2 linked regions of the Rhinolophus ferrumequinum genome follow. The protein of the gene in region 2 purifies or fractionates together with the protein of the main gene of each other region. This does not show direct contact. Links are inferred from orthologs where the notes say so. Each region holds a gene or a part of one and is shown on either strand. Other genes may lie near its edges. The genes, in order: TGFBRAP1 and ACVR1.

Region 1 (12,516 bases), on a different chromosome or scaffold from region 2:
CGCGGCCAAGAGGCGGGGAAGACTGATCCACATTACCCTGAATATGGCACTCGCCGTGTCTGATCCCGTCTGGGTCTCCTTTTTTTAACCTATTTATCGTTTGTTTCTTAATCTTCCTTTAATATGATGTAAGGCCAGAGGCTTGAGTTCTCAGTGCCTCGCACGTGGTAGGCACTCAAGTATTTGTTGCCTGAAATAATACTACGTATTCACTTCACGTATGAAAACAGACAGAACGCCGCTGACAACGGCCAGACGTTTGTTACACATTCACTGTGTGCCAGGTAATGCATTTTATATGGATTACCTCATTCCTCAGAATGGCCCTATGAGGCGTGTATTACTAAAACGCTTGTTTTTCAGGTGAGGAAACTGAGGCATTAGGGTAATTTGCTCAAGATCATCGGAAGTAGCAAGGTTGACATTCAAGAACATTTTCTCTGCACTTACAAAGAGAATTGGAAAATAAGTGAGATGCTAAATTAAAAAAAGCGATAAAGTTGAAAAGTGTTTTGCAATTTTTCTTTATCATTTATGTATATGATACTTTATCTAGAAATTTCAGACCCGGGCAGAAACTTAAAAGTTACTCAGTTCAGTTCTTCCATTTTAGTGCTGAGGAAGTTAATCGGAAGAAAATTAAATGACTTGTCCAAAGTGGAACAGAGTTGTAGAACTGAGCTGAGGTGGCATTTGGATGCCCTTATTTAGAGTTAAGTGTATTAACTTCATGGTATTAGCATCATAGTGTTTCATATCCAAGATGATTTTCACGACAAGAGTGAAATCAGTGTGACTGGTATTACGTTGTCCCCATGTCCTTCACCAAAAGGCACATGGTTTTAGTGGCAAAAGCAACTGCCTTGCAAGAAGTCGGGGAAAGCTAGACCTCGGTTCAGATTTTGTTCTGCTATATCAAGACCTTGTGTGAGTTACTCAGGACTCTCAGCCTCAGTCTTACCAGAAAAATGCTCTGCTGACACCTTCCGTGAAGAATTACCAAAGGATTCTTCTGCCAACTGCATTTAGCACAGAGTAGGTGCTCAGCCGGTAGCTGATTTTAGAAATACTTCACGTCTCCCCTCAGCTTCCTCACCTGTACAATGGAAATGACACCACCACCTCCCAGTGTTGGGAGGTTGCAGCCGAAGTATGAAAAGTGCCTCCTCTGTTGCCTCTAGCTGGAGATTTGCTGTGGCCTTTGACTGTCATCAAAGGACAGAAGTGGCAGGATGGTGGTGGAGGTGGGAAAAAACACTTTGAGTGTAACAGTCTGAAACTGTGGTTACAGCTCCTCGCTGTGTTCTTTCTACTTGTAGTTTCCTGGACCAGTCACCTAACCTGAAACCTCAAGCTCTTCATCAGCAAAAATGTTCTGTGGCAGCTAAGATCTGTGCTTTTTTTTTCTCCCTGTAGTTCCCAGTTTAAAACTAAATCCATTAAGATAATTCTAGGTGCCCCTGAAGCTAAAACCTCTGTATAGAGGGAGTATCCCTACGAGGCAGGAAAAAAGCAAAAACATCAAGATTCAGAGAGGAGGAAGTAGATTAAGATTCTAATCCCCCTTCGGCGCCGAGAGAGGGAGATACTTTGGGAACGCCTGTCCCCTTAATTCCACTCTGAGCGGAGCTTTGGCGAGTGCAGCCTCAGGGTAGTTGCAGTCTGTTAACTGTATTCTAATCAGCATTTCTGAGGTAGGAATTTGGGGTGGGCGGTAGAATTTGCATTTCTAACAAGTTCTGAAGTGCTGTTTCAAATATGTCTAGGTAGAAGGGCCACCTCACAGAGATTCCTGCCACATCATAGGCAGCCACAGACGTCCTCGACCCTCAAGCCAGGCTAGTTACTATGATTGGAAGGGCCAGGCCCGTCAGCACTGAGACCAAAAGACTGAAAACCCACACCAGAGTGGACAAAGAACATCTTAGAATCCTTCTGGGGACCAGTGGTGCAAAGATCTGATGTCTCCCGCTTCTCATTGTGGCACTTCAGAGGTTGCGGAACCTAGACACAGCCCTGAGGAAGGGGGCGGGCCTCCGTTGATAAGATTATTGTTACTGCAGCCAAGTGGGGTCTTAAAATAGAAATAATGCTCACAGAAAACAAAACTTCTATTTGTTACACACTTCAGTTGTAGATGGAAGTTTATTATCTGTGAGTGTTATACAGTAACCATAAATTTTTAAGTTCAGTCTGAGAGTTTTCCCTTCACTCAAAGATCGTGGGGTTTTATTCGTTAACGTGTTTATTTGGTACCTATAGTTGACAAGAACGAAGCTGAGGGAAACCAGCAGACAGCCTTGCCTGGCATCATCACCTCATTAGGTTAGGAGTTCCCCCAGGACAGGGCCATATATTTCCCTTGAATCTCCCACCTGGTCACTGGCATGCACAGTGCTTGCACTTAGTAGGTACTTAATAAATGTTTTTGAACGAATCATAAAATGTATACTGAGAACTTTGAGTGTTGTTGATTCCTCTTTCTTAGTGTAATATTTAAGGTACTTGTTACAAATGTCAAAAATATATCTGAGCATAATTCAAAGAGCTTCAAAGTGAATGTAATAATTTAAAAAATATTTCACATTTTAGACCTGTGTTTTTAGCTATTTGGAGCCACAGTTCTGCTTTGAGTTTCAAATAACTACCATAATAATAATTGATTATATTTTTTATTATTGTCCTTTCTCATTCTTTTTACAATCAGATCATCATAAAGATGCATTCACAGACAAACTCCCTACTGGCTTTCTTGTAAAACCCATCTCATAGGACACTTGTTTCATGAGTTCCTTTAAACTGTCTCTTACATCTTTGCGTTCTCAGCACCCAGCACAGTGCCTGGTACACAGTATAAGAACAGTAAGTGTGTGCTGAATGAATATGAATAAACCTTTCCAGATCCTCAAGCACTTCCTAACTGAGGTCTCTCCTGTCACCTAGGATCTGGTTGGGGGGTAGTTCTTCCACATACCCCACTAAATCAGTGGTTCTCAAAACTGAGTGAGCTTTAACTTAAAGTCACCTGGAGAGCTTGTAAACAAACAGTGTGCTGGGCCCCACCCCCAAGTTTCTGACTTAGGAAATGTGGAGTGTGGGCAGGGGGATTTGCATTTCTAACAAGTTCCAAGGTGACGTTGGTAGTCGCACCACTGAACTGAAGTAAGCTGCTTGAGGGCAGGGCCTGTGTCCTTGTTTTAGTATCCCCAGCAGCTTCTACCATAGGACCTGGTACCTAGGAGCTCTTCAAGAAATATTTTATTTGATTAACAGTTTAAAAAGTATATTTTACTGAATCTAGATTACAAGTCTATGAATATATGTGTATATATCATTAAATGAGAATACATATAAGAGCTCTTAAAACATGGCCCATATTAAGCTATGTTTGCTAAAAATAATAAATGTAACCTTTGTTTAATCTCATCTTCTAAAATGATACCCAAATTAGATGTCACTTTTAACAAGAGAACTTATAAAGTAACAGAATCTTAGCATTAAAAGCCTTTTTTAAAGATAACAGTTTATTAATATTAAGTATCAGGAATTTGAAAAATTGGTTGAGTGCTTCCTACGTGCAGATAGACATTGCGAGAACAAGATAGACACATTCGTCCTTAAGAGCCTACAACCAGTGAGGAACTTTAAGTGTGAGTATGTGTAAGTGTGAGGATGTTAAGTTTGGGGAGTAGATGGCCACTATAAAGCATTCGGTTGTATCTATTCAATCTTCATTAATCTATTAGAATACATCTTTTTTATATTCTATAAGATACTTTTGACATGCTTAATATGGACCCAAGGAATATTTAATAAATGTTTAAAAGTTAACAACTTTGAGGCTGGCCCGGTGGCTCAGGCCGTTGGAGCTCCGTGCTCCTAACTCCAAAGGCTGCCAGTTCGATTCCCACATGGGCCAGTGGGCTCTCAACCACAAGGTTGCCGCTTCAATTCCTCGAGTCCCACAAGGGATGGTGGGCAGCACCCCCTGCAACTAAGATTGAACACAGCACCTTGAGCTGAGCTGCCACTGAGCTCCCAGGTGTGGCTCGGTTGGCGCGCATCCTCTCAACCACAAGGTTGCTTGTTGGATTCCCGATAGAGATGATGGGCTGCACCCCCTGCAACTAGAAAATGGCAACTGGACCTGGAGCTGAGCTGCACCCTCCACAACTAAGACTCAAAGGACAACAACTTGAAGCTGAGCGGCACCCTCCACAACTAACATTGAAAGGACCACAACTTGACTTGGAAAAAAGTCCTGGAAGTACACACTGTTCCCCAATAAAGTCCTGTTCCCCTTCCCCAATAAAATCTTAAAAAAAAAAAAAAGTGAACAACTTTGAAAAACATATGACTTTGATATTTCTTCTTAAATATAATCAATCAAAACAACATAAGGAATTTAGAATTAGCCGTGGGGCAAATATTCCCACGCTTATGGAATAATTACACACAGGTTCCTCTCACATGTGAAATAGACCTCTCAGAAAGTTCCAGGAAAAACAAATGTTTCTAGATAGGATAATGTGCACATGTGGAGCTTGCCATCTTAAAAATCCTATGGTAAATCCTTTCATAAAGGAAATTATTATTTCCAAATTATCTTTCTTCCCTTTTTTTGTTAATATACATTTTTACTCCTAGATTGATTAAAGCAGAATACAAATGTTCCATAAACTTCAATCAATAGAACTTAATTTTATCTATATAAAAAATTCACTGTGTTGTTGAATTCTGGGTTCTTTGCTCTGTTCTTACTACCAGGGAATTTGGGATAAGTCATTCACTTCTTTTTGCCTGTCACTCATCTGTAAAATGGAGAAATTAATAGTGCCTACTTCATAAGGACAGAGGCTTAAATGGGATCATTGCTGTAAGGCTCTTAGCCCAGTGTCAGGCAGTCAGTAGATGTCACCTGTGACTAATCTTGTACAGTTCTCTGTACCCTGCAAATGTGGCTTTTAGGCCCCGCTGGTCAGTGATTAGCTGCTCAACAATACATTTCAGTGCCATAAGAAACACCCCAGCAAGACTTTGTCAGTCAGATGGCAGCCTGGTCAAGCATTTCCCAGGACTGATTGATTGGTGGTTGGTTGGTTGGTTGATTCATTCATTCAGCAGCTATTTCCTGGGTCCTACACTACATCCAGCCTGTTTTGATGTTAGAAATAGGAGTGGTGAGCAAATCATGCAAGGCCAGTGTTTTCATGAAGCTCTACGTGCCGGTGGGGGAAGAGGAAATACACTAATAACAATCATTGCTAACACTTCATGAGCACCCACCCTGTGCCAGTCAGCGTTCTAAGTCCTTTACAGGAATTAACTCCTTTATCCGACCGCCCCACGAGGCAGGCGCTACTGTGATCCCTTAGTCTAAGGGAAACTGAGGCTAAGAGGGATGCTCCACTGGGCGCTGGGCCAGGAGTGTGGTTTCTAGCAGCCTAGGGACGTCCCGACGGTCGTGGGGCGCGGGGACCAACGCGCTCCCGCCCTCCCGGCGCCCGGCGGCCGCCCCACGTGACGGGAAGCGACGGCGGCGGCGGCGGAGCCGGACCAGCCCAAGAGCCGCGGCCGGGAGCGGGCGGCGGGCGGCGGGGGGCCCCAGGCCGCAGGGCCGGCGCGACGGTAGAGGCCGGCGCTGCGCCGCGCGGGTGAGTGCGGAGGGCGGCGGGCTGCCGGGGCACGGGGCGCCGGCAGGAGCGCGCGGAGAAGGGGGCTGGAGGGCGGGGCCCCGTGGAGGGGGCAGGGCGAGCGAGTGGGTGCCTGGGGGGTCGTGAGCAGGCAGGTTAGTGTGTGCGGGCAGGAATGGGGGGCAGAGTGCCTGTCAAATCGAAGACAGGTGTGCCAGTGTGTGGGGGGGTCGGGGGTCGGTGCACGAGTGTGCACATGTGTGTGGACTGGGGCAGGTGTGCCCGAGCCCGGGATCCGCGGTGTGGTCGTTGTGGCGTGGAGGAGAGAGTGGGTGCGGAGTGGGCGTGTGTTTCGGGCAGGGGAGGATCAGAGACCTCGTCCTTGAATTGAGGTAGGCGTTTAGTTTTCTGGAGGGAAGAAGAGCAGGGAAGACTACACCCTTGTGTCCCTTGCCCTTCCACCCCTTGTATGGAACGGTTTTGTCGCTGTAATTGATGTTTCCTGGAGCTGTTGGGATTTGAGAGCTCAAATTTCGGGTCGCGTTCGGGCCTGACTTGTTGCCCTGAACTGGGAGACTATGCAGGGTGTGTTGAGGAGGGCAGAGACCGGCCGGTTCACAGCCCCCTTCAGCAGGGCCCGGAGCTGCCACCCCCTGCGATTTGCCTTTTCCTGGCCTTTTGTTGGGGCAGGTGCAAGTTGGGTTTCCAGTTTGCCTCCCTCTGTGTTATATGGGGATGACTCTAAAGACAGAAGCTGTCCTTTGTCGCCTCCAGTTGTCTGCACCTATCATTGCTTCCACCCATGGACTGTTGAGCAACCCTCACAAAGCCCCCCAGGCTGTTCTGGGGGCTGTCTGGCTGCTGGAAATGGGGATTCACACAGTGCTTCTTAATGCAAATGACTGTATGGGGTGCTGGGGTCAAAACATGTCAGAGCGGGGTTTAATCCATGGTGAAGTGCTGGTGGGCAGGCGCCTGTCTTCTGGAGGAAAGGCCCAGCCGGAAGGCACTGAGAGAAGTGTGTGAGGAGCCTTTGCAGCGTGAGCGGGCTTACCTGAAGTCCGAACTCACCACGTGGAGGGGCCTGTGGGTGCCCACTACGCTCTCCTCTGGACCCGCTTCTCTGGTGCTCAGCCGGAAACTGGTGGAGAACTGAGGGCTCCCAGCGCTCTGGTCAGATAGGAAGAAACATCTAGCCAGCTGCTTCCCTTTTCTTTCCATTTCTGCCAGCCAAGCAGTCTCGCAGTCATTGGGGCAGCCTCTTTGGTGTGTAGCACTAGAAAGAACCCTGACCGGATCCCCTGGGAGCCTGTCTAGAACTAGCCCTTCCAGGGCCCAGTGCATCTAAGAAATGGGGGCAGTGCTGCTCCATGGTGCTGAGCATGGAATTGTGGGTTCAAATCCTGCCCCCACCAGTGTTCCCCAACTCAGTTGAAAATCCGCTTTTTGACTTCTCCAAAACTTAACTACAGTCAGTCGTCCCTGGGTATCTGCCAGGGATTGGTGCTAGGACCCCCGCGGATACCAGATCCTCAAGTCCCTTATATACAAGGGCTTAGACCCGTGCATAAGATCGGCCCTCCTTATCTGCGGTTTCCCACCTGCGCATCAAAAATACTGTTTTCTGTCCACAGTTAGGTGAATCCATGGATTTGTAACCCAGGTTTACACAGGGCCGAGTGTGTATTTATTGAAAAAAATCCCTGTGTTAGTGGACCTGCGCAGTCCAAACGCATGTTGTTGTTCAATGGTGAGCTGTAATTGTTAACCCAATGAATACTTCTCTCTGGGGTTTGACTCCTCTTGGGACCTGATCCCAATTTGCTGTACGCGTTACAGTGTATACATTTTACTAAGAAATTGAGTGATACCTTTTCCCCTTTTCCCCTCTTCCCCTCCATCGTCAACCCTGAGCAGCAGAACTCTGATCCTGGAGTTGGAGGTGGCGGGTGTTATCCACCACTGCAGGCTCCTAGGACACTTCAGCCTCTGCCTAACCCCCTATGACAGATTTGTAAGGGCCCATTCTCCTGTTATGCAGCTCCAGCTGACACGTTTTAACAACACAGAGCTCACTGTTTTAAAAAGGCTAAATTTTCTAGGCCTTATTTGTAGCTAGCATTTCTGTTTAGGAAAAAAAAAAGTTGTTATTATGGCTAATTTCTTCATGCTAATATTAAACATTTGTGATCCTTTAAGAAAACTTGAGGAAATTTTATTTAATGAGTTAAGCATCTTTATCTTTGATTCCAATTCTTATTAGAAATACATTAGTCATTTGTGGGGGCCAGGTGTTTGGATACTGCCAAATAATTTGGCCCATACTTTACAATTCATCTCCTCTGTGGCAAACCTGACCCATTTTTCTTTATTGAAAAAAAAACATAACTACTAAATGAATGTAGAAGTAACAGTTTCATCTGGGGCCATCCCAGATGAGTCTGAGTGCTTTGTGAAGTCTTGCAAGGGATTTGGAACGAAGATTTTTTTCTTGATAGTCAAGTAGCTGCTGTTGAGTAAATTAAAGATTCAAGAAAAACAATGTATGTGAAAGGACAATTGCCTAGGATCCAGTAGGCACTGGATAATTCCTTGTGGCTGTTTAAAGGTCCAGTATTGAGGAAGATGTCATAAAGGAAATGCCCTAGATACTCATACTCCCGCTCTGCTTCTCTGCCACCTTTCCCTGCCCTTCCCAAAGCCTGTCCTCCGTGATGACTGTCGATGTGACTATTGTAGGATGTATATGATATACATAGATAGACACACTATATGCATGTAGATGTGTATATGTATACACTTATGTATATATATTTACACATATATTTAGATAATCTAGATAGTGTTACCCAGGGAAAGGATAAAAGCTATGACTAGTCACATCTAGGTATGTACCAGAATAATATCAAGACGACAAGTTAGATGTTATACCTTAGTTGTATTTTTTTCCTTCTTTCTTAACATACTCTCTCAGGTCGTGGAAACAGTTTTCTTATGCTATAACTTGTCTAATGCTGCCTCTGTCACATGAGCGCGAAAGATAACATTAAATGTTTGTCAGGTAGCATCCTAATTTTCAAAAGTGGGACAAGCTGTCTGTGGTACAAGTCAGTAAATTGGTTGTGGATTCCTGGAAAATTTCAGGATTGAGCCATGGAGCAGATGGCTGTGAGAAGTTAGAGAAGAGCCTGGGACCAGCATGGGGTGTGGTTCCATAAGAACAGCGTGTGTCACATAAACATATATCCTGTTCTGATAAAATTACGAGGTTAATGGAGAAGTGTGTGAGTGTATCATTCTGTATCTGAAATTTAGCAGGGCAGTACTGACGCTGAACCCCATTTGGTGAGAAGCATTTATTTGTGACAAAGGTTGTGTAGGGGGCAGAGGGCAGGGGCAAGCCATTTTGGAAACAGAGAAACCTACGTATGAGGGAGGAGAATAGGATGCCTTCTCTAGACTCAGTATGGGAAGGCCAGGGCCCTACTGATAACAAGAGTCCCTTAGGAGGCGTTACAGCAGGACACTCATATCACAGTGGTATCCTGTTTAGAGTCATCGCTTTCTTCTAAGAGCATCTGAAATCACACTTGTCCCCTTCGGTCAGTAGAGTGGAAGAATATGGCCTTGAAGTCAAAAACAGAAACTGGTTGGAGTCTCTGTTTCATCACCTGGTAGCTTTGTAACCTTGAGTAAGCCACCAAAAATCTGTGTGTCCACCTCTCAGAGTAGTGTGAGAATGAAAGGAAATCATTTATGTCAAGTACACAGTATCCCACCAAACCCAGTGCTCAGGGGCTCTCGAAAGGCGGCCATCAAGGCATCGGCCACAATCACTGGGTGCCCATCCTTCGTCCAGACTTGGAGCAGCCTCTGTCCCTGGGCAGCCAGGTGGCTCCGTGCTTAAGGGCGTGTGCTCCTGAGACAAGCTGTCCGGGCTGGGATCTCAGTTCTCCATGGTCATTCAGCCTTTTGAAACCTCTATTTCCTCCATTTCCTCCCTTGCAGAATGGAATTATGATACTACTCGCCTCATAGGTTTGCTGTGAGCGTGAAGAGAGCTTTTAATGTGGAGCCTGGCACATAATGAGCCTTCCAGAAGTCTTAGCTCCTCTACCATAGTGTTATTACTACCCTGTCCTCCAAAGGAGCTGGAAAATGCTACAGGGGAAGCATGGCGAGTCCCGATTCCTATTTCACAAGGAGGTGATGGGCCCAGAGGCTATAAGTGACTTGCCCCAGATCGGAAGCAGTTGGCCAAGCCGCTAGAGCTCAGGATCCCCAGGTCAATATTGAGAAGGTCTGCTTTGCACCATGCCGCCTTCAGCACTGTTCACCGCGTGGCCCAGGTTAGCTCCGGGGCCTTGCGCCTGACAGAGAGAGGGAGGGCATTTACAGAGCCTCGCCTCTGCTCTTTCCTAGCTTCTCTTGCCCAAAGCCCTACGGCTGGCCATCAGAGCCCCTCACCTGCCTGCTTTTCCTGACGTTTGCGGTATATCAGAGTTTGGACTCCGCAGGAGTCAGCTTACATGTGCCCCAACCCAATCTGAATTCGTCTATGTAAGAAGTCTTCAATGAGCATAAGTCCCAAAGTCTCCTCTTGGAAATTCATTTTCAGGAGAAAAAACTTAATTTGTACATATTTTTCATGTCTATAATTTGAAGCTAGAACACTAAATTGAGAAAAATCACCTCCAAAAGTAACTGTAGAAAAAAGATGGTGCAATGGCCCCAGCATCCCGAGGCCCTAAGGGGCATTCTGCTGGGCTGCTGGTCATTGCCTATTCCATTTTCTCTCTTTCAGGTACTGACACTCAGATCATTCTGAATGTCTCCTTTCCTGATAGATTACACTAAGGCAAGGTAATAAACCAACAACTGTGATTACATTGATCTTTGTATTTTAACTTTTGAAGTAGCTTTGGGCTTATTAAGAGATGAAAAATGATAGAGTTCGCATAAACTCCTTACTTAGCTTCCCCCTTCGTTGACATCTTGTATGACCATAGTATAGTGATCAGAACTAGTAAGTGAGTATCAGTACTGTTAACCAAACTACAGACTGCATTCGATTTCACCAGTTTTCCCACTAATGTCCTTTCTGTCCCACAATCCTGTTTCTGATCTAGTTTCCCCACATCGCATTTAGTCGTCCTGTCTCCTGGGTCTCTAACCTGTGACAGTTCCTCAGTCTCTCCTCTTTTTTCATGACCTTAACACTCTTGAGGAGAGTCAGGGATTTTGTAGATGTCCCTCAGTTTGGGGTACTTTGGCGTTTTCTCATGATTGGGTTGTGGTGACTTTGTTTTCTCCCCAAGAATACCACAGTGGTGACATGACTCGATTACATTTGAGTTTAATGTTGGGCTCCACTCTGTGTCCCCCTGAAGCAGCAGGAGCAACAGGGATGAGACTTCCCTGGTTCTCAGGAAGTTCGCTGGTGCCCAGGCCCCAGTAAGCAATTCTCCCTCCCAGTGTCTCCCACCCCCCTGCGACCTGCGACATAAATGTCCTCTTGTTCCCTGTTAAGTTTCTCTGTTGTTTCCACATGCCCAGTCCCCTAATTACTCTGTTATGTTACCTTGAGGATTTAGGATCTTTTTCTGAGGCGCCAACGGCAGCTGGAAAAACAAAAATGTCACGCCTTCTTGAACACACATACTCAAATTAATGTTTGTGACCACGGAGCCTGAAAGTCGTATCAAACCTCATCTGACTTTAGAGGGGCCGCTAAGATAATTCTTACTTTTTTTTTTTTATCTTGAGATGATGTCGATTGTAATTACAGTCAATTTATATCCTCAGAAGAGAGCTAATTGGCCCCCAAACCACCAAAATTCATCTTTTAGGTGCTTACTAAAGTTTGAGATGCTGACGGGGTTTTATTGAGTGTGTTAATTCTGCAGGCTGTGAAGGTGAGTGTCAGAGAGCCAGTAAAGCCCCCTATAGGAATTGGAGGTGTTTAGCAGTTCGATTTTTGTAGAGGACGTCAATTAACATTTTCTTTCGCTCATTTAGCACAAAGAGCATCTAAAGGTAGCTGCAATGAAAGAACGTTTGCTAGCAGTGTTTGCCTTTTCCCACCCACTAAAGAATTTTGAGTCTGTGATTGGGCTATTCATTTCGTCAGGAACATAGCATAGGCCAAATGAAAAAAATACATCCCGTCATACCTCTACCTGTCCTGCTGGATACCTGTGACAGTGTGGCCAAGAGAGGAAAGATGAGCGTGGGGGTGGGCCAGTGTCAGGGAGGAGGACAGGAAGATCAGAGTTTGTGCTCAGTGCCACAGGGATGCAAAAACAGACGTGGGACACTGGGCAGCAGGTCTCTTAGTAACTGCCCACACCATTTCTATTTTATTATAAGCTGACGTGAGCCAGGCTGATGCGAACACCTGCCCGAACCCAGCTGAGTCCTCCACCTGACTTCTGGGCTATCCCAATCCAGGCATCAGGTCAGTCCCTTCACTGGGACCACTAGAAAACTGGCCCCTGAACTGGCTTCTAAGTTTTCCTCCCTTAAACATCATTCAGGTTCAGCCTAAAACAATATGGGGAGTAATGCAAGGTGTCCTGCCATCTTGGAGAGTGCTCCTTTCTGGCCCCTTCCCCTTCCCCCTGATGATTTCCCTCAGCTCTGTACTCTGCACTTCAGCTTTTTCTCCTGATCATATGGGGCCAACACTGGGACCCGGCGACCTGGAGCTGAAAAGAACCCAAGACATTTGGGAGGGCCTGTATTCTCCCCCAGCCTTTCCCAAGAGTGTAAGAATGTACGACAACTTTTGTTAATTGCCTTAGAGGTTTGTTTTTTAGCACTGATATTTTCAGTTTTCTTGAAGCTGTTCCCCTGTAGTGGATATTGGTATCGGTCTATGGCT
Region 2 (12,817 bases):
AGGGCAACGCGGAGGAACAGAACAGCTGAGGCCTGGCCTTGTGATGAGCGAGCTGAACTCTTGGAGACACATCAGGACACCTGTGCTAAATGGAACCTATGACCTTGTCCCATCCTACAAAAAAACAACCTTCACCTACGGCATGAACCTCCACACAATTTGGAAAGGCTAAAATTTAAAGTCACTTTCCCAGCCACAGAAATGAAGGCCAAATACCCAGGGCAAACAATGAAGCAACCCTAATGGGCAAAGTGGAATGCTGGTCAGAGACTGAAACCCCAAAATCAAACAAACGGGGGGTAGTGGCTCTGAAAAACAAAGCTCTCATGGATCCCAGAAGAGTCTGTAGACGTATCAACAAGCTCAGATTTCCAGAAATGCATATAAGAGCACAGGAATATTATTCAACTTTGCAGTCAGTTTGAATATTGGAGACAAGGGGAGTATTTGTTTTAACTTCAAAAAGGAAGCGGCTGGGTCTCTTATTAGTTAATTATGAGAGCGTAAGTTCAAGCAAAACTACATCCCATCTGAACCAAAGGCCACGATGTGCCAACCACACCAACCTGATGAAGCTCTTTGAAAAGGAGTCTTTAACTCGAATGCCCTTTCCAACAGCCAAATCCTGGTTTGGAACTTCTGATTCTTAAACAAGCACGGCAAGCAAGAGCAGTGTATGGCCAACAGCTAAAAAAGAAGAGGTAAACCTTCCACTTGGTTCTTCGGGGAGCTGGAATTGGCCACAGAAAGGAACACAAAGTTTTCACTCCAAGAGATCAAAGAAGGCATTTTTGTACCAGGAAACCCAATTCAAGTCCTCATTTCCAGGAATAAAGCCATAGTGCCCAATACTTGCTTTGGGAAAATAAAACAGGAGACTATGTGAACTCCAATTAAAATCTCTGATGGCTTTATTTCCCAGTCTCACCAGTTTAATGCTGTCAACGTTTTACCCAGACACTGCTTTAACTGAAAAACCAACTTCTGGGGCTGAATGGTCATACTTAGCACTAGGTCAAAACGAAAGCATTTTAACACTTCATGACAGCATTCTTTGCCTCATCCGGAGCATAAGATGCGTAAGGCAAGGTGATGCTGAGAAGTGCCAGTTCTCCCAAAACCGCAGTCAGGAGAAACCACGCAGAAGCTCATGCTATTATTTTAGTCACAATACAGGTATGCCCCACTTTTCCAAAAGTTCATGTTATGCCACTTTGCTTTTATGAAAGATCTACATTAGTACCTATTTTCACTACCTGGAAAAAAAATTGGAAGAGGATTTGCGCTTTTACCAAAGAAGCCGAAAGGAAAATATGTATTTGCTTTGCAAGGATCCTTACAGAGGCAGCAGGTACCCTGAGCAGTGAAAGTTGGACCCACAAGCTTCTTTCCCAGAAACCACACTCAGCATCTCAGCGTCAAGCTGCCATAGCTTTCATCTGTGTCTGTGAGCCCCTGTGCTTTATCTCGATTTATTCTGTGCATTCCTGCTTTTAGTATACATTGTTATTTTAGTTCTCATATGTTACTTGCTATGATTTAGTAGGTTATTTTTTGGGGTCTGAGAATGCTCAAAATTTTTTTTCATGTAAATTAATAGTAATTGATTTTTTGCTTTATGTGATCTCAGCTTACAAAAGGTTCCATTGGAATGCTTTACTTCCAGATAGCTGAGAAAACCTGTACAGGAAATGAGCATGGAAGCAGGAGAAAAGAGAGGAGGGGATGCACCTCGATCTTATTTCGGATATGACAACAATCAGCTTTGCTTTAAAATGATCACCTGGGGTCCTGTCAATCAGCCATTCGTTCTGTGTGTATCACCAATACTGTATATCTCCCTACCTCCTCCCATCAATGCGTGCCCACGCGCTCACACACACGCGCACACATACACACTCCCCAGATAATCATTATCCTGAATTTGGGGTTTCCCTAGAAGTATGACTGCATCTTTATAATTACCTCCTCTTCCTAACAAGTGAGTTAGGAATATGGCAGTAATACAGTTTTCTCTGAAAAGATATCTTTAAGTTTTGTTTTCCAAAAAGGTGAATTGTCGCTTTAAAACAAAAAACATAATTAATAGACAAAGTGACACTTAGCTAAGGTAAACTCATGAATACACTGTAAGAATGAATAAAATTGAGCAAACACTGGCGAAAGTAGAGAGTCCCACAAAATCCTGGTTCAAGTCCCGGCTCCACTATTCATTAGATCTACAACTTTTTCTTCACTTAATTTTGCCAAGCCTCAATTTCTTATTGTAAAAGAGTGAAATAATAACAAAACATATGACTGTTGTGAAAATGTCATGGAAAAGTGCATGTAAAGAGCGGAGCACTGTGCCTGGTTTACTTCTCTCTAATTGCTAACAAGTTGCACGTTGATCTCTTCACATAAAAATCAACATGCAGGGATCCAACAGCAGAACAAGCACAGAGGGCTGTTCGGAGGTCCCAGCACCTCTTTGCCTAAAGGACAGTACAGCTACGCGCATTGATTCCGTCTTCCCATCGTGACCTTGAATAGCAGGATCATTTTTCAAATCCATTTCTGCCCCTTCCTCCCTCCCCCAGTAAGGCTCGCCTACTCAAGCCAACCTTACCTAGAAGCCTATCATGACCGTCACAGAACTAGTTCAGTGCAACCTAGGGTAAGGTAGAGGCATAGTCTCTATTTACTGATTCAACACTGTTATCTGTTCCATGGACAGACGCAAAAATTTAGGAAATCACAACTTTGGGAAAAAAAGTCATCACAATGCTATTAATGAAATTAAGCTCCTCACTTCTGAAATTACAGGCATACCTGGTTGGATTGTGTGTCACTTTATTGTGTTTCACAGGTGTTTCGTTTTTTACAAATTGAAGGCAAGACCCTTCAGCAAAAATATTACTATGACTCACTTTGTTGCAATACCCGCTTTATCTCACTTTATCTCGGTGGTCTGGAACTGAATTTGCAATACCTCCAACTTATGCCTATAATTACAATCCTAAATGTAGCATACTCCTCCATCTTTACTCCACTTCCTTACTATTCTCTTAAAATTATTACTTAGAGATAACAAGAAGCTTCTTTGGATTCAAATGATCACTCTCTAACAAAGTACAAAAGTTGTAAAACTACTACCTAAATCAAGTTTTATTTAAAAACACTCTCTACATTTCAAGTAAAACTCACCCATAGTGCTGGAAAAGGAAAGCAGGAACCCGGTCTATACCCATCCCAGCCCTTGATTTTTGCCCTGTCTCCAAAGTTTACTGCAACATCATTCATCACCTTTGAGTATTTGCATGAGGGGTGACAGTACAAATGCTGTTATCCAACACACAATTCCATCAGTTTAAGGCCTACATATTTCAGCTTTAAAAGACTTCCTTTTTTTAATTCCAGGACAGAAAACAGAAACAAATGAATCACAAAAAAGTGATTTGGTCTTGGGGGCGTCAGGGATGGCTCAGTTCGTTTAGAGCATGAGCTCTCAACAAGGTTGCCAGTTCAATTCCAGCATGGGATGATGGGCTGTGACCCTGCAACTAAAGATTGAAAACAGCGACTGAGCTGAGCTGCACCCTCCACAACTAGAGTGAAGGACAAGACTTGAAGCTGATGGACCCTGTTTGGAGCTGATGGATCCTGGAGAAACACGCTGCTCCCCAATATTCCCCAATAAAAAAAAAAAAAAAAAAAAACAGACAGACATAGCTTTAAAAAAAAGAGTTAATGTAAGAGAGGACTGAGTTTAAAAAAAAAAAAAGTGATTTGATCTTAAAAGCTGGGTGATCCAAGTCCTGTCTAGACCTAAAGTAACTTCCTGACCCCAATGTCCCCATCAGTGAAATGTGTGAGGCCCGTATTTCATACTTAAGCATACTGTAAAGCTGGACGGCAAACCCAGTGTCTGAGGTCAGCACAAGTCTAGTGTCCGCTGGCTGCCCAAGCCCGGGCCCCTGGCCAGCCACCCACCTCCAGAGACAAGTGCCAGGACATACTATAGTGCTTCCATTTAAGGCCCGCCACTTAGATCAGCCCATCTCTGAAATTTCTTAACACCATCTTTCCAGGAAGAATTTTTCTGGGAGAAAAGGGAGGTGGTGTCTATTTTTTGCCACCGCCTTCCCTGGGCTGTCAGAGCAGTGAACAGGGACAGGGTTCTTTAAAACCACTGGGTTGTGTCTATGTCTCAATTGGAGGTCTCTTTTCAAAAATATACAAAATATGTATGAGGTCAATCATTTTTCTCATCATCTAACTCCCATCACACACACCTCAAAAAAAAAAAAAAAAAGCCCGAAAAAAATAATCAATCCATTGTATTACTTTGCTACCTCTCTCCAAAAGCTAAATTAAGCACAACTTTTTAACCCAAGGCTTTTCTTCTGCTACTAAGTGGAATGTTATCTTCCCTAAGTAGCTTCCTCTATAGCTTCTCTCCTATGCAAGAAGTATTCAAAACTCCAGGGAAAAGGGAGGGGGGAGACATATAGTGCACAAAGTGGACAGAGCTGAGCCCGTCTAGAACCCAACAGAAGGTGGTGAATAGGGCAGCCCCAGAGACCCACATCTCTCCCCAGCGCACCCAGGGTTCTAGCCTCACTGTTTTTGTTACAGTGTTGAAGGAAGGGTTTTAAACTTGGCAAAGTACCGTGCAACATCTGTAACCACATTTGCCTTCTGGGGATCGGAAGATGAATCCCACATTCCTGGCTTTGAAGCTTTTTGAAACTGCAGCTAGGAAGAACGGAGAGGGAGGGAGGGAGTTGAGCAGAGTTTATTGGCTGTCTCTCCAGCAGAAAATTCCTTTTGGAAGCGACGGATATTTTGAGGGTGGGGGTGTTTCGCCCATCTCTTTACTCCCTACCAAGCTCAGCTAGGAAGGTGAGACCCGTGGTCGGGCGGCCAGATCGATTTACAAGTCAGAGGCGCACAGACTGAAGGAGTTCAACACACACACACACACACACACACACACACACACACACCAAACCAGAGACCCCCCCCCCCCCCCGCCAACACTCCATGCCTCTGCCCTCTCCCATAGCCCACCAGCAGTTCAGGCCCAACGCAAGACAGTTTTGTTCCGCGGCTGCTTCCCCCACCGAGAGGGGATCGAGCTTGGGGGAGAAAGGAATGAAAGCGAAGGGGAGGCACCGCAGACGCCCACCCTCCCACCCCCAATCCCAGCCTCTTCTCCCGTTAGGCTCCCTCCTCCCTCGATCCACCCGGCTCCGGCAGGCTCGGCCGGCGACCTGCCCTCACCTCTGGTCCCGCCGCGGTCGGGGGCTGAGCCGGGGGAGGCGGAGTGCGAGCCAGCCGGGCGCTGCAGGTCGGCGCGGCACCGGGCGGGCGGCCCCGGCGGGCGCGGGGCGGGGCGCTGCAGCCGGCGGGGGAGCCCGGAACTCTGCGGGGCCAAGGGCCGGCGGCCGGCCCCGAGAGGAGGCTGCAGCGGAGCGGAGCGGTGCGCGGGGCCAGGCGCTTTCCAGTCCGCGGGCCGGCACGGCTGGCCGAGGAGCAGCCCGGCAGCGGCGGCAGCAGCAGCGGCAGCCACCCCGGGGAAAGAGCCGAGGGAGGGAGGGGAGGCGGGGTGAAGAGGCGGAGGAGGAGAAGGAAGGGGAGGAGGGCGGGCGGAATAAACTTCCCGAAGCGCCGCGGCACGGGCAGGGAGGACGGCCGCGGGCGGGGCGGGCCGGCGGGTGGGGGCTTGCCCTGGGGGCGTTGGGGGAGACGACCACAGAGAGTAGAAAAGTTCCCCCAGCGCGGAGGGGGAGGTTGCTGCGGCGGCGGCGGCTGCAAAAAGCAGGAGCCGGAGCGGGAGGAGCGGGAGGAGGAGGAGAAGGAAGTGGCTGCGGAGCGATCGGCCAATGAGTGTCTGGAGCTGTGATTAACCAGGCAGCAACACATCATTTCCTCCCGGCGCAGATCCAGGGAGCCGGGAGGGAAGGGGAAGGCAGCGGGGCGGGGCGGTCCCCGCGCCCCCTGCAGGCGCCCGGCCGGTGGCGAGCTCGCGGAGTCCCGCCGAGCCTGACCTCGTCGCCCCCGGCGCGCCCCCGCGCTGTTTGGCGGGGCCGGAGGAGGCGGCGAGCGCGCCGCCCGCGGGTCTCCTCGGAGGCGGCGGGGCAGGCCCCAGCCGGGCTCCCGCGACCGGGGTGGGAGGAGGAGAGGCGTCGCGGCGCGGGTGAGTGCCCAGGTAGGCGCGGGCGGGGCCGTCTGGACAGCTCCCGGGGTGAGCGGGCGGGAGGTTCTGGCTGCCTCCCGGCCCCGGGACTGCGGGAGGCGCGCGGCTGGACTCCTGCTTGTTAGACTTAGGCTGGATTCTCAGAGAGAAGCCTCGGCATTCACATCCAGGCCATTTCTGACCTGCCTTCAAATCCCCTTCCACTTATTTCCTCGCAAGGTCGGATTATGCTGGAGCTTGCCATTTCTCAGTCGGCCTCCTTAGTAATAAAAATATGCGGGTTGGTGAGGGGAGGAGGCTTCTGCAGTAGTCTAGCCCGGTCCTAGGCGCCATGGGAGCTTACAGTGGAAAGGAAGAAACATTCCCCGCCACAGAGAGGCTGACAACCTCGGTCCTTAGATACACGAAAACACTCCAGTGTGCTAATATTATCCAGAGCATCAAAAAGGCATGCAAGGATCAAATTTTGCATGGTGCCTGCTGAGTGTAAGGAAAGCACTAAACCATTTTCTCTGCCCTCTAGAAGCTTATGCACAGTCCTATCACAAAGCAAAATACAAGCATGAAAGCCATAAATGGGAATACCATAAAGTATTTTTATCTCTACAGGTTCATTTATGCAGCAGGCATTTATTGGGTGACTGCAGTACTGCAAAAGATTGCAAAGGAAATGGAAGATCTGGGCCCTGCAGGTCAGGAATTTACAATCTAATGAGGAACACAAAACATACATAGATGAAACAGCTAGAAAATAATCCCCAGGTATTACAGAAGCAAGAAGATGGAGAAGGCTGGGTGCTTTATTATTTTTTTAAAGGGGAAGGGCTTTGTTCCTATATAATTGATGGAGATCTGGAGAGGAAATTCCAGGTCAGATAAAGCAAGAGTGCCTATATGTAGTCTTGCTCTTTAGAAGAATATAACAGGGATATCAGTGTGATTTGGTTGAAGTGTCAGCCGTGGCCACTTAGAAACTGTGTGACCTTGAGCCCATTTTTAACCTCTGGAAGAAGGGAATAGAGCCTGTCTCATGAAGTTTGTTGTGCAGTTCAAATGAGATTAGACACATGTGGACGCTTTTCAAGCTGCTGTGTAAATGTTCCTAAGTCCTGTACATTTACGGAGTCCTCATTTTACTGGCCCTTTGTTGGTAACCTTCTCTTCTAGTCTGTAAGCCCCATGAGGGCAGGGACCAGGTTTGGCTGTGTTCACAATGTATCACACCTAGCAGAGTAGCACATGTGGGTACTCAATAAAGGTTTGCTGAATAAGTGAATAAATGAACTAATGAATCCTGTTGTCCTTTTAACTGTTCCTTCAGTAGTGGTTCCTTCTTGTGTGACTGGTTCAATGCAAAAAAACCTTCTGATTTTTCCTGTGACTAATTTGTATTTCAGGAGATTATCTGGGAGGATTCTGGGTAGTTCTTGTAGACTTGTAACATTGATCGGTTGATTTTCTGTGTGTGTGTGTGTGTGTGTGTGCGCGCGTGTGTGTGTAGAGCAGGATGATACACAAGGATACAGCCCTCCGCACAAGCCCTGTCCACCCAAGGATACACCCCAAATGCAGTTCTTTGGCTTAGACACCTTAATCCAGGGTTTCTCAACCTGTGTACTATTGACATCTTTATATGGTAGGATAATTGTGTTGGGGTGCTTTCTGGTACGTTGTAAATATCTTTGTATCATCCTTGACCTCTATCCAGTAGATGCAAGTGGGACGCCTTCCTTCTACAGCTGTGACCACTAAAAATGTCTCTAGACATTGCCAAATGTTTCCTAGGGGGCAGAATCGCCCCCTGTTGAGAGCCACTGCCTTACCCCACATCTAATCCATTGATTTAACTCTGGTGGAAAACAGACCAGTAAAGTAACTTGGACGAAATACATCTTCTGTTATTCTAAGATTCTCAGCTCTCCTCCATCGTATGTTTCAAGGAGCACGACTCTAGTTAATTAACTGCCTGCTGCATTGTGAATTGGCATCTCCTGATTTCTGCATATCGTCCTCCTTTATGCCCAGATCAACATGTTCATTTCTAAAAGTCAACAGCTTTCAAAAACTATTAGGAAACAGGGTCTTGAGCAACCTGAGAGTCCTGTACAGTATTTTCCTATAAAATTTGGGGAATTTATTTCATAAAATTTTGCAGCAAGCTTTCTCATTACAGTTAAGCTCTTCGACTTAAACAATAACCACAGCCTCTCTGCACTCAGATGTGATACAGAATATAAATTGTAATTTTTAGAACTGATTTCATTTAAAATAATTGAAGTACGTAACTAAAGTGAGTGACTTCTTTTATCTTGAAGCCATTATTTTGGTTCTAGAGAGAGCTTTTATAGTGTTATAAGGGAACATGGTTTATTAAAAACCTATAAAGCGAAAATCAGCTTAGTTATACATACTAACTTCCAGCAGCAAATTCTTTAGAAGAATATTGGGGTGTTTGAGAGCTGGTGGTATTGATGAGACTCCTGACAGATTAATGTGCTACAGTTCAATTTCTAAAGATTTCTTGAAGAAAAATAAAGAATAATGGTTAAAGTAATGAGCAAATGTTAATAAGTCTGTTCATTTAGTATGGGCACATAGAACCAAAAATAAACCCTGCTCCTATCAGGCAACAGTACCAAGGTTTCTGACGTGAGCAGACATTGGTGTTCAGCAAAACAATATCTGTCTCGTTAAATAAAGTTATTTGAAACACTAGGTTTATAGTTTTGTTCATATTCAATTTTTCTATAGTTTTCTAATGGTTTCAAGCATATAGAGATTGGTTTACATCTAGTTTAGTGATTTTTCACATTGAAGTTGAACGTTGAAGACTAGAAACAGCGTAGAAAAAGGGCAAAGTTTGAGGGTTGGATGTGGCTTATGGTAAAGTGATTCTCCTATTTCTATTTTGTTAGACTGGAACTAGGACACATACTCTTAGGGGATCTCCAAGTTCTTTATGAAATCCATGAAATTTGTGCTTTGGCTTCAGTTACAGTATTTTTTAAACAAATTAATAAATTAACTATGATACATATTCATGATACTATGATACTAGATCATCTGAATGTCTACCATGCAAACGATTTCGCTATCCTTTTTGGCTATGTACCTGTAAGAACATGCAGCTTATTCAAATAATAATTGCAATAAAAATAATTTAAAGTATCAATAAAGGTCCATGAAGATTCTGTTTTTCCTTTTAAAGCTGTCTATACATTATTCAAGCATGAGAAATACTGACCCAGCTGCATCATAACTATTCTTGGAGAATGATGAATTCAATGTCCTTGACATCTGAAATTTAGTCCTAATCCTGAAGCCCATAAAAAAAAAAAAAAACCAGTACTGTGTTCCAAAGATCTAAGTGAATGGATCAGAATACTAGGGGATGGAAGAGAAAAATCAACCTGAAAGGGTCACTACAAATCCTATCAGGCCTGGCTCCCTTTTCCCCAAAAGGTAAACATTTAACCAGTCAGGACAGACACTTATTAATCTTCCAGTTAAACTTTCCCAGGTGTATGAAAGACTCATTAATTGTTCATTTCATACAAGACTTTATTGGCTGTCTACCATATTCAAGGAACTGTTGGAGCTACACGGGGAGTCCTCAAACAGCCCTACAGTTATTTCCCACTTGGGAAAGTTAATACAGTCACCTCCTGGCACAGCAGGTTACATGCAAACCAGTGTGTGGCTATGGGCCAACCATGTGATAAAAGAGACATCACAAAACCATTACAGAAAGGAAAGATTATTCATTCAAACGATGTTGAAGCACTTGGGGAAAATCCTGTTAGTGCTTCCTCTCATACCATTTCTGAAAATATTTCCAGAAGGAATAAAGAGTTAACATTGTTTTAAATGACAAATTAAAGCAAATATAGTCAGATAATATGTTTGGATTGAAAAGGACTTTCTAAATTAAAGCTATATAAGAAATAGATTGGTAGGCTTAACCATGGAAAAATTTTTCCCTAAATTTTTTTTTAAGTAATCAGAAGAAGGAAAAAGCAGAGTAGTGAAACTACTTACAACATATACTCAAAAGGTTCAAGTCTTTAATAGATTAAACAAAACAAAAAATTCTTACAAATCAACCAAATGCAGCCTTTAATAGCAAGTTGGGCAGATGTCATGAATGGACAAAGACAAAAATTACCATGACCATCAGGAAAAAATTTTACTCTAAAAATTGAAGAAAAGGTAATGCAAACCAAACAGATGAAATATTTCACACAATTTGTTAGCAATTGAGCATATTCTCTACTGGTAAGACTGACTTTATAAATGACAGTTATAGAGAATGTAAACTGGGAAATGATTTCTTGAAGAAAATTAAGTAACATATATCAAATGCCTTAAAAAATATTTATACCTTTTGACACTTTAATCCCATTTCAGGAATTTATGCTGTGAAAATAATCATCAATGGCACAAAGATTTGTATAAAAGGGTAATCATCGTCTAGTAATTTTGGAAATGCCAACAATAAAGCGTAAGTTGAAAAAAATAAAATACAAAGGTAGTATTCCAATTCCAGAACCCTTATAAGCACATGAATCCCTCACACTCACATGTACACAAAGAGAAAAGACTAGAAGAAAATATTCCAGGATGTGCAGTGTTATCTTTGGATCATGGATATGGTTGACTTTTATTTTCTTCTGTACACATGTCTGTGTGTTCAAACTTTTCTATAACGTATTACTTGTATAAGCAGAAATAATAACAATTATAAAAACAGAAATGCACATATTTCAAAAGGGTCTGATAATCATAGAGCAACACCTAACTGGTGAGGAATGTATGTGGATTTATATTTGTGAAGTGGGAGGCAGGATGCAGAGAATGTAATTCGAATCTCGTGTTTTCTTGCTCTGCTGGTAGATCAGACTTAGTGCCTTCTCTCATTCTTTGATTGCATCTTTGTGACCTTTGGTGACCATTTCCTTGTAACCTTGAGGGCTAGATGCTCATCAGGCCTGTCCGTGGTCTTGCTCATGTTCTGAAGCTGCTTAAGTTTCTAATTTACTTAACTAAAGCTGATTTAGCTACACTGTGGAGATGTGGATTTTTAAAAGCTAGTCCCTGGATGAATGCCCTCAGCTGATCAAATTAATTTCTTCCTCAAATTAAACAAATATACTTCAGATATAATCTTGGTAGAATCCAGTATCTCCGTGGCTTTTCATTTTTAGGGAACATTGTTTTGCCTGATTGGTCCCTCTGAACACTGGCATCATGAAGACATGTTCATGGATAAGAAATCAAATTAATTTCCCAAGTCCTTGTGTGGCCCCATTCTACCAATATCTAAAATCCAAAGGCTGCCTCTTTATTAACCTACTTTTGTTTAATGAAACTCCAGAGAGCTAGCTGCTAAGGTTAATTACATGTAGCAGAAAACTTAGGCTGTGTAACCTTCAGCAGGTGACTTCAGGTTATAGAGCCTAGGTACTCCTCAGGTGTAAAGTGAGGGATGAGCTGCATTTCAGAGGTCTCTCAGTTTTGAAATTCCGTGACTTGAGTTGCAATTCCTCAAAAGCCTATTGTCTGAAGTTGCCTATACTATGTTTGACATTTCTGCAGACAAGGAAGGAGCTTAAGATACTTAGGAAGTGACGGAAGGCCAGCATGACTGGAGAAAAAGTAGCATGTGGCAAAATGTCCATAGAGAAGGATGGAGGTGCCCTGGCCCAATCATGCAGGTCTCACAAGGGAAGTAATTAAAAGTGTTTAAGCAAGAAGGCAGGTAGTGAGTGAAAAGTTTGCTTAACATCACTTATCATTACACCCAAGACATCTATATCCCTTTGTTAACAAGATTTTTCCCTATAATTATTTTGTTTAAAAAAAAAAATACAAGAACAAAAGGATATACTGTGTAGTGAAACGGAAGTTCCAGAACCACCAGTCTCCCAGCCACCCAGTTCCCTCTCCTTAATGCCAGCTGCTGTGTATCCTTACAGAAATATTGTAAACATATGAAAGTACACGTGGATTCGCTTTTGCTTTAGCACAGATAGTAGCAGGCTATACACACTCTATCCTTTGCTTTTTAAAAAAAAATCAACAGCATATCTTGAAGATTACCAGTTCTTATGAATAGTCTTTGTTATTACAACAAAGTTATTATATCCAAAGTTTTACTACTGTTATTGAGTCCCCACTCAGAGAAGCATAAACTCACAGAACTCTAAATTTGGAAGGGACCAAAATCTCATGTCGTCCCAGCCCTGCCTTTTACATGTGAAAAACTTTGTCCTTGAAAGATCGCGTCATTTCTCAAGGTCTCCGAGCTGGTTAAGATGAGACTGGATCTGGTTTTCCTAATCACCCTCCAGTCCCATTATATTTTCTGATTATAAACTTATACATGGTGTAATTAAAAATATTTTTAAACAATATGCATGGTATGATCTGATTTTTATTCTTGAAACAAGTGTGTATGAGGTACAGAAATGAGTTTGGAAGGCTACACACCATGATGCTCGTAGTGGTAATCTTGGGACGGGGGCAGTGCTGTGATCTTTATACTCTTTTCTTTTTTATAGCAACTTTATTGAGATATAATTCACATAGCATACAATTCACTCATTTAAAGTGTCCAATTCAGTGGTGTTTAGTATA

What was found.
Region 1: the proteins of ACVR1 (region 2) and TGFBRAP1 purify together in Homo sapiens (co-immunoprecipitation; 3 studies listed by BioGRID and IntAct, counting the BioPlex papers as one, with this or other methods). This does not show direct contact. The link is inferred for Rhinolophus ferrumequinum from reciprocal best matches to the Homo sapiens genes ACVR1 and TGFBRAP1.

What each region holds. Positions count from the first base shown.
Region 1 is NC_046296.1:13,118-25,633, forward strand, and holds the start of TGFBRAP1 (transforming growth factor-beta receptor-associated protein 1), read left to right. Parts: upstream 1-5,541; 5' UTR 5,542-5,654; intron 5,655-12,516. UniProt on the Homo sapiens protein: Plays a role in the TGF-beta/activin signaling pathway. It associates with inactive heteromeric TGF-beta and activin receptor complexes, mainly through the type II receptor, and is released upon activation of signaling.
Region 2 is NC_046291.1:63,995,144-64,007,960, reverse strand, and holds the start of ACVR1 (activin receptor type-1), read right to left. Parts: upstream 5,780-12,817; 5' UTR 5,266-5,779; intron 1-5,265. UniProt on the Homo sapiens protein: Bone morphogenetic protein (BMP) type I receptor that is involved in a wide variety of biological processes, including bone, heart, cartilage, nervous, and reproductive system development and regulation.